3 linked regions of the Canis lupus familiaris genome follow. Each later gene encodes a partner of the first gene's protein in a complex. Links are inferred from orthologs where the notes say so. Each region holds a gene or a part of one and is shown on either strand. Other genes may lie near its edges.

Region 1 (3,747 bases):
CCACTTACAACCTAACAAAAAAAACACAAAAATAACTACCAAGTTTTAAGGCTCCTACAGAAGGCCAACAGTTCTACCAAAAATAAGTCTAAAAATTCCACACAGGAAAATTATCATAAGCAAAATTAAAAGACAATCCCATTCTTTTGGGAGAAAAATGCCTGCAAGCTAACAGAGCAAATATTGGAAATTTTATTTTGACTTTTCAAAAATTTATTTTCTGACTCCACTCCCACCGGAAGGAGGGCACTAGGACTTCAGGAACTGCCGAATACACAACTCCATCTCCAGCACCTCAACACCTAAAAGATCCTCAATAAAGGCCCACTGATTGAGTTTTTTTTTTTTTTTTAACCTCCGTTTTTTAAAACAGAATAATAGACAAAAGAGGACAAGGAGGAGGGCTCGGGTGGTTCAGTCGGTTAAGCTTCTGCCTTTGGCTCAAGTCATGGATTCAGGTCCTGATCTCAGGGTCCTGGGATTGAGCCCGCATCCGGCTCCCAGCTTAGCAGGGAATCTGCTTCTCCCTTCTCCCTCTGCCTTTCCCCACGCTGGGCTAGCTCCCTCTCTCTCAAGTAAATAAAATCTTAAAAAAAAAAAAAAAAAGACAAGGGAAATGCAAATGCTGAATAAAAGCAGAAAATTATTCAGACTAATATACTTCTAAAAGCAAAGTTTTAAAAAGAATACTTTTCATCTAACGGACTATCGAGATTTCAAATACTCCATCATTCAACAAATATTAGAACACCTTCCATGCGACAGGCGCTGGATGCCAGCAGAGGTCGCACTCTCCCAGGGCAGCTCTTTCTGTCCAAGGGTCTTGCCCTCTCATGCTTCTATAAAGACCACTTTTTTGCACCACAGACGTCTCAAGAACTCTTTCTTGGCTGTTGGTTTCAAACCCTAACATCTGTCCTACGTCACAAGTGCATAAAAATGTGCACCAAGGGTGTTTAATGCAGCGAGGTTTGAAAAGAGTAGGAAAAGCCGGAAATCATCCATGACTTCATCAATATGAGGAGTGGATAAAATATTTCTCTGTAATATAAGGCGGCCCTCGAGTAAAAGGGGTAAAACTGCTTGCGGGGAGTGGGGGGTGGAGGTGGGGGTGATAAACAGTGTTTATATGTGATTACTACCAAAATCAGAGAATTAGCATTGATCTGGTTACTTCAAAAGCGACTGTAAGAGACAGCCCAGGCTCTGCCTCACTCAAGCATTTTTAGTTGGGCGCCCGGTTCCGCGCCTCCCCACGCCACAAGCCACAAGCACTCCTCTATTCAACGTGCAGGTTCCCAGTCCCACGTGACTGGCACGTTTTAAAGCCTCTCGGCGGACGCCTGGGTGGCTCAGGGCGGGATCCGGGGATCCGAGATCGAGTCCCACGTCTGCAAGGAGCCTGCTTCTCCGTCTGCCTGGGTCTCTCATGAATAAATAAATAAAATCTTTAAAAAAAAAAAAAATTAAAAAAAAAAAAAAAGCCTCTCGGTCTTCCTCACACGCCTGTCAGCTTCCTTCGCGAGAGGAAGACTCCGCGTCTCGGAGGGGCCGCCTGCGCCGCGTCGGGGCTAGCGAGTCCACGGCAACGCTCCTCATCCCGGCTCCTTTCCGCGGCCCAGGGCAGGCTCGCCCACGGAAGCAACCTGACGAGTCGCACCGATTCTGCTCATTCCTCCACCGCTTCTCTGGGGCCAACTCTTCCGAGGCGGTGTCTCCACTGAAACCGGCGCCAAGCGTCACGGCCGGTGACCGGACCCCAGACCCCCCTTCCGTGGGGCTCAGCCGACAGGAAGGCATTCCAGGGTCCCGCCCCGCCCCCGAACACCTCCCCCTCGACGTGGCCACCAGGCTTGGGATCGCGGCCTCCTGCACCCCGCACTACCGCGGCCGACCTCAGGCTCCATCCCCGACGAGCGCGGGCAAGGCCCGGGGGCCGAGGCCCGCCACGTCCGCCCGGCTCAGCACACCCGCGGCGCGGGACTGGAACTCAGGGCTCCCCCACGGAGGAAGCCCCGAGCGCGCCGCGCCGACGGCACCTTCCGCCCGGCTCCCCGCGAGCAGCAGCGAGGCCGCATCTCCGAGGGATGTGGGAGAGGAAGGTGACGGAGCGTGTCCGCGCCAGGCTTCCCCCATTCCCAGCCGGCCCTGGGGGAGCCGCGGGGTCCGGAAGGCGAGACGCACGCGGCACGAAGCCGCAAGCCGTCGCCGCCCACTTACCTCAGCCCAGGCTTGACGCTGGAGCCGCCTTCGCCTCCGCAACCGAAAGCCGACTTCCGGCCACCTCCTCCAGGAAGAAGCCCGTGACACTGCCCCTTGATTGGCTGAGAGAACTGTATGTTAGCCGCCGCTCTAGTCCCGCCTCCAACCAAAACCTTGCTACTGCGCCTGCGCGTATCTCCCCGCGCCCTCGGCGGTCGGGTCGCCGGCGGCCTCGGGCGTGGGGGTGTCTGTGCTAGTACTTTCTATCAGTAAAAGCTGCAACTGGTAGCTTCGCTCCTTTGTTATCTTTTTTTTTTTTTTGACACCTGAGATTAACTTATCCGTTTGCCTTACATGAAAATTAGAAAATGCAGATAAGCCGATTTTTAAAAATTAGATCGACTCTAATCCTACTGTCCAAAATAGCATTACATTTATTTTCAATCTGGAAATATTTATGAACGAGATCGGGAATTCATAGCGTTCTCAGTTTCTATTTCTTCACATTCATATTTATTTTCATTTAGGAATTGAAACATAGCTATGTTTCCAGGTAACAAAAAATGTATCAAAGTTTTTGGGAGGTAATTTTCAGAAGAAGTAACAAACTTATAAATTCGTGGAAATCTGACGAGAGCATACTGGACATAAAAGAAAATTGTTATTCTGATAAAAGTTTTCAACTTTGCCTCTAAAATAAGATTACTTGGTTTCATTTTTTAGAAAAGAACGAGATTCCGAGTATATGCAAAAGTAGAGGGGCGCCTAGGTGGCTGAGTGGGTGAAGCCTCTGCCTTCAGCTCAGGTCGTGATCCCAGGGTCCTGGCATCAAGCCCTACTTGGGCTCCCTGCTCAGCAGGGAATCTGCTTCTCCCCCTCCCCTCACACTGCTCTTGCTCTCTCTCTTCCTCTCTCAAATAGATAAGATCTTTAAAAAAAAAAGTGTACTCATTATCCACCTTCAATCTATATCTACCCATTAGATCTAGACATTATTTCGTTTTAATATACACGTCCAAAATAGGACTCTCATTTTCCCCCATAAGGATACAGGTGTTATATCATTTAAAAATAAGTTAGTAGAGGTGCCTGGGTGGCTCAGTGGTTCCGTGTCTGCCTTTGGTTCAAGTTGTGATCCCAGGGTCCTGGGATCAAGTCCTGCGACAGGCTCCAGATATGGAGCCCGCTTGTCTCTCTGCCTACATCTCCGCCTGTCTCTCTGTCTTTCATGAATAAATAAAATCTTTTTTAAAAAAAATAAAATAAAATAGTAATTATTTAAATTCATCAAAATCAAGGGCACTTAGGTGGCTCAATTGTTTAAGCTTCTGATTCTCAATTTCAGCTCAGTTCTTGATCTTGGGGTCATGAGACAGCCCCATGTCAGGCTGTGTGCTCAGCCTGCAGCCTGCTTAAGATTCTCTCTCTCCTGCCCTCTGCTCCACACACCCCCCCCCCTTACCTCTCTTAAAAAAAAATCATAAAAATCAAGTCCTTATTTGGATAACAATTGCTTCAGGATCCAATAAGCCTTTGTAACTGGCT
Region 2 (3,747 bases), on another chromosome or scaffold:
AACACTGCGGTGTCTTCCCATTGACCTTAGAATAAAACCCAAGCCCCTTTCTATGGCTTCCAAGACCCTTTGTGAACTTGCTGCTGCTTCTTTCGCTAACGTCCTCTCTCCTGTACCACGCTTGTCCCTCGCATAGCTCCAACAACGCTGGTCTTCTTTCTGTTCCAGAACATTCCAAGATTGCTCCCGTCCAGCCCTTGCGTTGCTGTCCCAGACCCCTGCACGGCTCACTGTCCACCCACACAAGCCTCAGATCCAAGTCCCCTAACCAAGGCCTTCCCTGACACTTCTGAGTGAGGAACCCCTCCCATTACCTGTTTCCTTCAGTTACTCATTGCGATAGAAAATGGTCTTTTCATCATTTGCCGTGTGCCCCTTCACCAGTGTGAGCTCCTGAGAGCCTGGGTCCTGCCTACCTTGTCCAAGTGCCCACAGAGGAGAGGCTCCATAAATAGTACTGCCCTCCCCGCCCTCTGCGAGACCCGGGCCGGGTTCCCTTCCGAGATCACGCCTCATGGTAGATGTTGACTTTTATCTAGTCTGACCTGTATGGAAATGTGTGTGACTGGGGGTGCCCGTACAGGGCACAGGGCTTAGCATAAACAAAATACCTGCTTGGTTTGAAACACAAAGGCCAACTGGTTAATTAATGGAGGTCTGTTTCTTGCCCCTCGGTTTCCGGCCGCGGTGTGATCCTCCCAGTGGTCACGGTTTGGGTTTGCTCCCTGTCCCCGAAGTCTGGATCGTGAGGGTGGTTGGAACAACAGCCTCCCTATCCATCAGCCCATCAGGCTGGCGGAGCGTCGCGGGCCTGCGGACCTCCAGTGCTGGCTTGCTGCAAGGGGGCTCCCGGGGTCAACGGTGCGGCCACCCGGCCGACGCGCGGCGGAGGGGGCTGGCCCAGTGCCGACCCCGCACCTGCCGCACCTGCCGCACCTGCCGCACCTGCCGCACCTGCCGCACCTGCCGCACCTGCCGCACCTGCGCTCGGGTCAAGGGGGGGGTCCCTGTGGGTTGGAACGGCCGCTGGGCGTTCTCCCGGCTGAGGACTGCCCCCGCGGGAGACCCCACCGAGGGGATGTAGGCGCTCCCGGAGGCGCTCGGGACCCCCGCGGCTACGTCACTGGGCGAGCAGAGAGGCGGGGACAGGACCCCTCCCGCGCTCGGAGCGCCCCAGCTCCGCCCCTCGCCCCTTGCGAGTCTGCGCGAGGCCGGTGGGCGGGGCCCGAGAGGACCGCCCCGCCCCGCATCCCACACTGCCCCGCGACAGGAAGTGGGGCCGCAGCTTCCGGGACCTCCGGGAAGCTGCTCGTCGTGCTGGTGACGTCTCGGCGCTTTTGCTGGCGATGGCCGCGGCCGTCGCTATGGAGACAGGTAGGTAGCGGCCGGAGCCCTGGCAAACACAGCTACAGCCGGCTGGCCTCCTCCTCCAGCTTCCCCCGGGACTCCTGTGTGGCGTGACTTCGGCGGGGCTCCTGTCCGCGGCTACCTCCTCCTCGCTTGCCGCGCAGACGCCGACCACCCCTCAGCCTCAACCCCTCCCGGGCCCCGACCCCGCGGCCTCCCGACCCATCCCAGGTCCTGGCCCTCCCAGCCTCCGGGCTCTGACACCCCCCTCCCCCGGGCCTCCCAAATCCTGCCGCCCCGAACCAGTCCCCCCTCCCCGCCAGGCCCTAGCGGGAGCACACTCGCCCCCTCCTCTTGCTTAGCTTGCAGCCCTCCGCCACTGGTCACCCTGGAGGTCCTGGGGAGTGGCTGCCAGAGGGTGAACATCCTGCCCAGGGGGCGCCCGCTTCCTCGGACTTCTCCTTAAGGAGTTACTGGTCTCATTAATCAGGGCCCTGCTCTCTAGACTTGGGAGGAAACGGCCCTCTCTTCCCACATCCAGCTTAGGACAGTCATCCCTGCCTTATGCCTTCAGAGATACTCTCAGCAATACTCAGAACACTCCACTGCTGTTTTCTTTCTACAAACCAGCACTTTAGATAGTCACCTTTATTTTGTTTTTTATTTATTTTATTTATTTTTTAGTCACCTTTACTTTGGATGATTTTTGCTCACTTCCCTCCTAGATGATGCCGGGAATCGACTTCGGTTTCAGTTGGAGCTGGAATTTGTGCAGTGCCTAGCCAACCCCAATTATCTTAACTGTAAGTCCTTGAGCTCTTACTGACTTGAGTAGCTGTTAGTGATCTCTGGCAGAAGAACTGCAGTTCCTAATGATACCTATTTTTATATGTTCTCAATCCAGTGGAATTAACTGCTACGCTTATACTGGTGTGTGTGAGAACAAATTGGGACTTATGTTCAGCATTTAGTGTGTGTTGGTGGTGGGGAAGTTATATAAGTAGATGCTTTATGTGAGGGGTCACAAATCAGTAGTCCGAGGATTGGTTTGCTCTACAGATTTTTTTGTTTGTTTGTTTATGCCTTTCAGTTCTTGCCCAAAGAGGTTACTTCAAAGACAAAGCTTTTGTTAATTATCTTAAGTACTTGCTTTACTGGAAAGAACCAGAATATGCCAAGTATCTAAAGTAAGTTTAATTTTTATAGTCCTAAATATGTGTATAGTTATTACATTAAAAATACTGATATTTGACAGATTTTCTCATTTCCCATTGGAAAAAAGTATATTTTGAATCTCTCCACTTCTTTCAGTTGCCTCCACCTTAATACAGAGCCACCCCCTCTCCAGCTTGGATTATTGCGGTGTCCACCCCCCTGCTTCTCCCTGCTTGTGCTCTTACCTTCCTTCTGTGTCCTCCCTCCCGCAAGCCAAACCAAGCAAAACAGTTTTCCACAGGGAAGCCAACTTGATCTTTCAAAAATGTAAATTATGACGTGGTATTTTCTTGCTTAAAACCTCCCAGTGGTTTCCCATTGCATGTGAAACAAAATCCTCTCTCTTTTCTCAGGTCTCTCTTTATCTATCTACCACTCACCCCATCTCACTGAATTTCTGACCCTAATGAACCCACAGTCTGTAGATGCAGTGGTATTACCTGAGGCTGAAGATTAAAGAACATCAGGTACTTGGAAGGTTTTCTGGAGGAGGTGACCTTACCTGACTCTTAATATAGGCATTCCTTGGATACTGTTGATGTGGTTCCAGGCCACTGCAATGTGGTGAATATTGCAATAAAGTGACCCAAGTTTTTGGGTTCTCTAGTGCGTATAAGGGTTGTTAACACTATAGCATTAAGTCAAGAAAGAGGTACATACCTTAATTTAAAAATATTGTTAAAAAACACTGTCATCTGAGGTTTTATGGAGTCTGATCACAGATCACCCTAACAAATACAATGATAAAGAAAAGTTTGAAATGTGAGAATTATCAAATAATGACAGACATAAAGTGAGCAAATGTAGTTGGAAAAATGGTACCCATAGACTTGCTTGCTGATGGGTTGCCACACGCCTTTAATTTTTAAACAAAAAGTCCAAAAAACAAACCCAAACCAGTGTGTCTATAGCTGCTGTGCCTCCTCTGTGCCAAGCATCACACTTGTTTCAACCTTGAACCCATCCCTCTTCTTTGTCTTCACTAGGTAGTCAGAAAGCAATAGTTGAACTTCTTGTCTTTCTTTTTTTTTTTTTTTTTTTTTTTCTTGTCTTTCTTTTAAACAAACACGTTTGATAGGAAAATGATTCAGACTTGTACTTTATCCAAGTCACTTTTTATTTTTTGTATTTTTATTTTTTTTCCAAGTCACTTTTTTGATTTGTGTCAACTGATTCACAAAACCC
Region 3 (3,747 bases), on another chromosome or scaffold:
GGGGGAGGGAAACAGACTCCCCACTGAGGGCAGAGCCTGACATGGGGCTTGATCCCAGACCCTGAGATCAGGACCTAAGCCAAAGTTAATAGTTGGATGCTCCCCCAACTGAGCCACCCAGGTGTCCTGAGCACACAACTCTTAATGTACAGGTCCTGAGTTCAAGCCCTATGCCAGGCATAAAGTTTACTTTAAAAAAAAAAAAAAAAAGATAATAAAAAAAATAAAAAGCTGACTACCTATTGGTATGAGAAGAGATAGTGCTAGTCAGAAGTAGAAACAATGGAATAAGTAAAAGGTTACTAAAGTAGTTCAAATGAGGGATGGTAAACCAGGGTGTGGTACTGTAGGTGGAGAGAATATTTAAAAGATACATTGGAAGTAAAATGAATAGGATTTAGAGATATGCTAGATGTGGGGGTAAAGTGAAAAACAGATTGACTCCTAAATGCTTGGTTCATGCAACTGGTGAATGACAGTGGCACTTACTGGGTTGGGAAAGACTGAAAAGTAGCTTGAGGAGTGAAAATTAATAATGTTGTTCATATTAAGTTACTAAATGGATGATCTGAATTAAAGTCTAACCTCTTCCACTAACATTAAATGACCTCCTGAAAATCACTGCCCTCTCTGGATCTTGAGTTTTCTCATCTGGGCAAGGTACTTTACCTGTTTCCTGATCTATAAAATGGGGCTAATGACAGTATCATAGAATTACTATATGATCCAGTAATCCCACTTCTGGGCATATATCGAAAATTCAAAGCAGGATCTTGAAGAGATATTTGCACACTCACGTTTGCTGCAGCATTATTCATGATAACCAAAAGGTGAAAGCAACCCAAATGACAAATAAATAAATTTTTAAAAATGTAAATAAATAAATTATAAATAAACAGATTATACACACAATGAAATGTTATTCAGCTTTAAAAAGGGGGATCCCGTCAGATGCTACAATAAGGATGAACCTTGAGGACATTATGCTAAGCAAAACAAGCCAGTCAGAAAAAGACAAGCACTGTATGATTCCATTCATCTAAGATATCAAAAGTAGCCAAAATCAGAAACAAAGTCAAAAAGTGGTTGCCAAGAGCTGAGGGAGGGGAAAGGAGTAATTAGTGTTTAATGGGTATAGACTTTCAGTTCTGCAAGATGAAAAAGTTCCTAGAGATCAGTTATACAACAATGTGAATATACTTAACACTACTGAACTGTATGTACACTTAATATTATGTGTTGGTGACCATAATTAACATTTAAAGATTTTTTAAAAGTTGTTGTCTTATTGGGTGCCAGAAATTATGCAGGCTGCCTTTGTGTAACAGCCTCTCATCCCCACAGTGCTGATCAGAAAGAGGAAAACAGGTCATCCAAGTTGCCTGGTTTACTTACCCTGCAGCAGGTACTCCATCATATTAATGGTGCCTCCAGTGACAGGCATCATGGTGACTGGCGGTGCCTCCATGGTGTCTGATTGAGCTGAAGACAACAGAACTGGTTTCGGACTCTCCAGTCAAGTAAAGCACAATAAACACCTGGAGAAGTGTTACATCGTTAATACATGAGCGGGGCACAGAAACAATAGATCTGTTTGTGTCACTGGCCTCGATATGAAAAGATTCATTCAACCATTCAAATTTTTTGAGTAACTGCTATAGGCCAGCTTCAGGAACTGATGATACAGAAATATACAAAGGATACTTGGTCATGGAGTTACAGCACAACCTTTCCAGTCTCAGTGTCTAAACGTTTTCTGTGTAATTTTGAGGAAGTCATCAAACCTGGAAGTCAATGTCTTCCTTATAAAATGGGGCCAACGATATTTAACCAACCAAGACTTTGTGGCTCGGACATGTAAAAACATTCAGAACTGAAAGGTTGTCTGTTAAAAGATTGTCTACTCTTCAATTTATAGATGAAGATAATTGAGTCTCGGAGAGGGGCCCAAGGATACACAGCAAGTCGGTGGCGGAGCTTGAATCAGACTGAAATCTAGGCGTTCCGTCTCTCTGAAAACGCCTTTCCAAGAGAGCGAGGGGGGAAGCGTGAAATTCTTTTAAAAGGATGGTTTAGGTCCTCTTAAGGCAGCATCAAAGACACGTGCCCACTTACACTAGAAACACACCTCCGAGCGCGCTCTGGTCTCTTCTCGCAGAGTGGGTAATGTATCCTCTCCAGCACCTCCGAGCAGCATTTAAATAACTAGCCCCCAGCCCTAAAGTTAAAGCCCTCCAGGTAGTGCAACAACTTCTTTTCTTTCCACTTCCGGCAGGAAGCGGACGTCACGCAAATCTTGACACTGGTGCTCCGCGACGTAAGGGTGCCGAGAAGGGATTAAAAAAAAACCAAACCGCGCTCTTTGCAGCCTCGCAAACAGAAGCGCATGCGCGAGACGCAGGGCCGCGGTATGGAAGATGGCGGCCTGCCTTGGAGGCTTCCCGGGGATTTACGGCGGGGGAGGGGAGGCGCTTGACGTCATTTGGCGTCCTCTAGGAAAATATTTTTTCAAGCTCGACGATCTGGAATGATATTGTCTAGGAAATCTCTTGAAACTGACGGGGGCAAAAGAGAGCCCAGGGAAGGGAGCTGCGGTAAACAGACTTACAAAATAGACTTTTTTTGTTGGGTACCTGACGACCAAGAGACACCTTTTATTGCAAAGCATAATGTTCTGAACAATTAGGGAGCTCAGCAATACACTTAATATTTGTTCACTTCACTGTATATATTTTACTTAATTTGAAAATATAGGAAGATAAATTCAATGAATGTTTGTTGCACGCTGCTAATATTTGTCAAGCATATAAGGTGCAAAGTGAGGACTAGAATGAAGTGAAAGAGGTACCCTCGGAGTGAAAAAAATAAAGGGACACCAGAAACTCGGTAGCTAAGATAAATACTATTTCAATGCGGTATTTTACAAGTTTAAGGCAATAAATAATGAACAAAATACCAAAACTTTAAGTTTGATCCTCAAAGTAGCCCTATGAGCCAAGTACAATGATTACGGTAATTTTACTGATGGGGAAACCCAAGCAACGAGTTGTTAAATAACATGCAAAGGAATGGCTGCAATACCAATATAAGCTGTTGACTTCAGAGCCCTCTCACTTAAAAAATTTTTTTTTAATTTATTCATCACACACACACATACACACACACACACACACACACACAGGCAGAGGGAGAAGCAGGCTCCATGCAGAAGCCCAACATGGGACTCGATCCCAGGACTCCAGGATCACGCCCTGGGCCAAAGGCAGGCCCTAAACCGCTGAGCCACCCAGGGATCCCCAGAGCCCTCTCTTAATTACTGTACTGGACTTACAGCTCTAGTTCCCCTGCTGTAATCCACTATCTCCCATTCATTAATTTTTAAAATATTGAACATTTCTTGAAGGTCTAGACTGTTCTCGACATCTTGTTAGGTGTTAACTCCATCTGTATCCTCAAATGAGTTTACAGGCATGTTGTGGGAATCAGAGGGTTAAACTAAGGAGTCTGTACTATGAAGTTTGATTCAATAGGAAAATGAGATATCAACAGCTCATCCCCTTTGGAAGCAAGCAGGATGCTTGGTCCATCTTGGGGGCATCAAGGAAGGATTCCTGGAAAAGGTAATCAATGCCCAGAGTAACTTGAAGGGTCAATAGGTGTTAGATAAAGAAGGGAGAAAAGGGAATTTCAGGTGAAGGGAACAGTATGTTCAAAAGGATACTGAGTTAAATAGAATTAGGGTATAGA

Evidence for each region.
Region 2: the proteins of MED7 (region 1) and MED31 are in contact, whole or in part, in a cryo-EM structure (PDB 7EMF), measured with the Homo sapiens proteins. The link is inferred for Canis lupus familiaris from reciprocal best matches to the Homo sapiens genes MED7 and MED31. Residues at the interface, in NP_001094286.1 of Homo sapiens: Met15, Gln16, Tyr17, Ile18, Lys19, Tyr21, Thr22, Asn25, Ile26, Lys33, Pro34, Pro35, Pro36, Pro37, Ile38, Lys39, Asp40, Tyr42, Met43, Met44, Phe45, Gly46, Gln48, Gln50, Asp52; in NP_057144.1 of Homo sapiens: Asn14, Arg15, Leu16, Arg17, Phe18, Gln19, Leu20, Glu21, Leu22, Glu23, Phe24, Gln26, Tyr33, Phe36, Leu37, Tyr42, Asp45, Ala47, Phe48, Asn50, Tyr51, Tyr54, Tyr57, Glu62, Tyr63, Lys65, Tyr66, Lys68, Tyr69.
Region 3: MED7 (region 1) and MED18 share a complex: the UniProt entries of both Homo sapiens proteins name them as parts of the mediator complex. The link is inferred for Canis lupus familiaris from reciprocal best matches to the Homo sapiens genes MED7 and MED18.

Annotation. Positions count from the first base shown.
Region 1 is NC_049225.1:53,884,065-53,887,811, reverse strand, and holds the start of MED7 (mediator of RNA polymerase II transcription subunit 7), read right to left. Parts: upstream 2,288-3,747; 5' UTR 2,221-2,287; intron 1-2,220. UniProt on the Homo sapiens protein: Component of the Mediator complex, a coactivator involved in the regulated transcription of nearly all RNA polymerase II-dependent genes.
Region 2 is NC_049226.1:30,892,140-30,895,886, forward strand, and holds the start of MED31 (mediator of RNA polymerase II transcription subunit 31), read left to right. Parts: upstream 1-1,218; 5' UTR 1,219-1,346; coding exon 1,347-1,374; intron 1,375-2,072; coding exon 2,073-2,150; intron 2,151-2,437; coding exon 2,438-2,534; intron 2,535-3,747. UniProt on the Homo sapiens protein: Component of the Mediator complex, a coactivator involved in the regulated transcription of nearly all RNA polymerase II-dependent genes.
Region 3 is NC_049223.1:71,511,976-71,515,722, forward strand, and holds the start of MED18 (mediator of RNA polymerase II transcription subunit 18), read right to left. Parts: upstream 2,295-3,747; 5' UTR 2,116-2,294; intron 1,539-2,115; 5' UTR 1,469-1,538; coding exon 1,396-1,468; intron 1-1,395. UniProt on the Homo sapiens protein: Component of the Mediator complex, a coactivator involved in the regulated transcription of nearly all RNA polymerase II-dependent genes.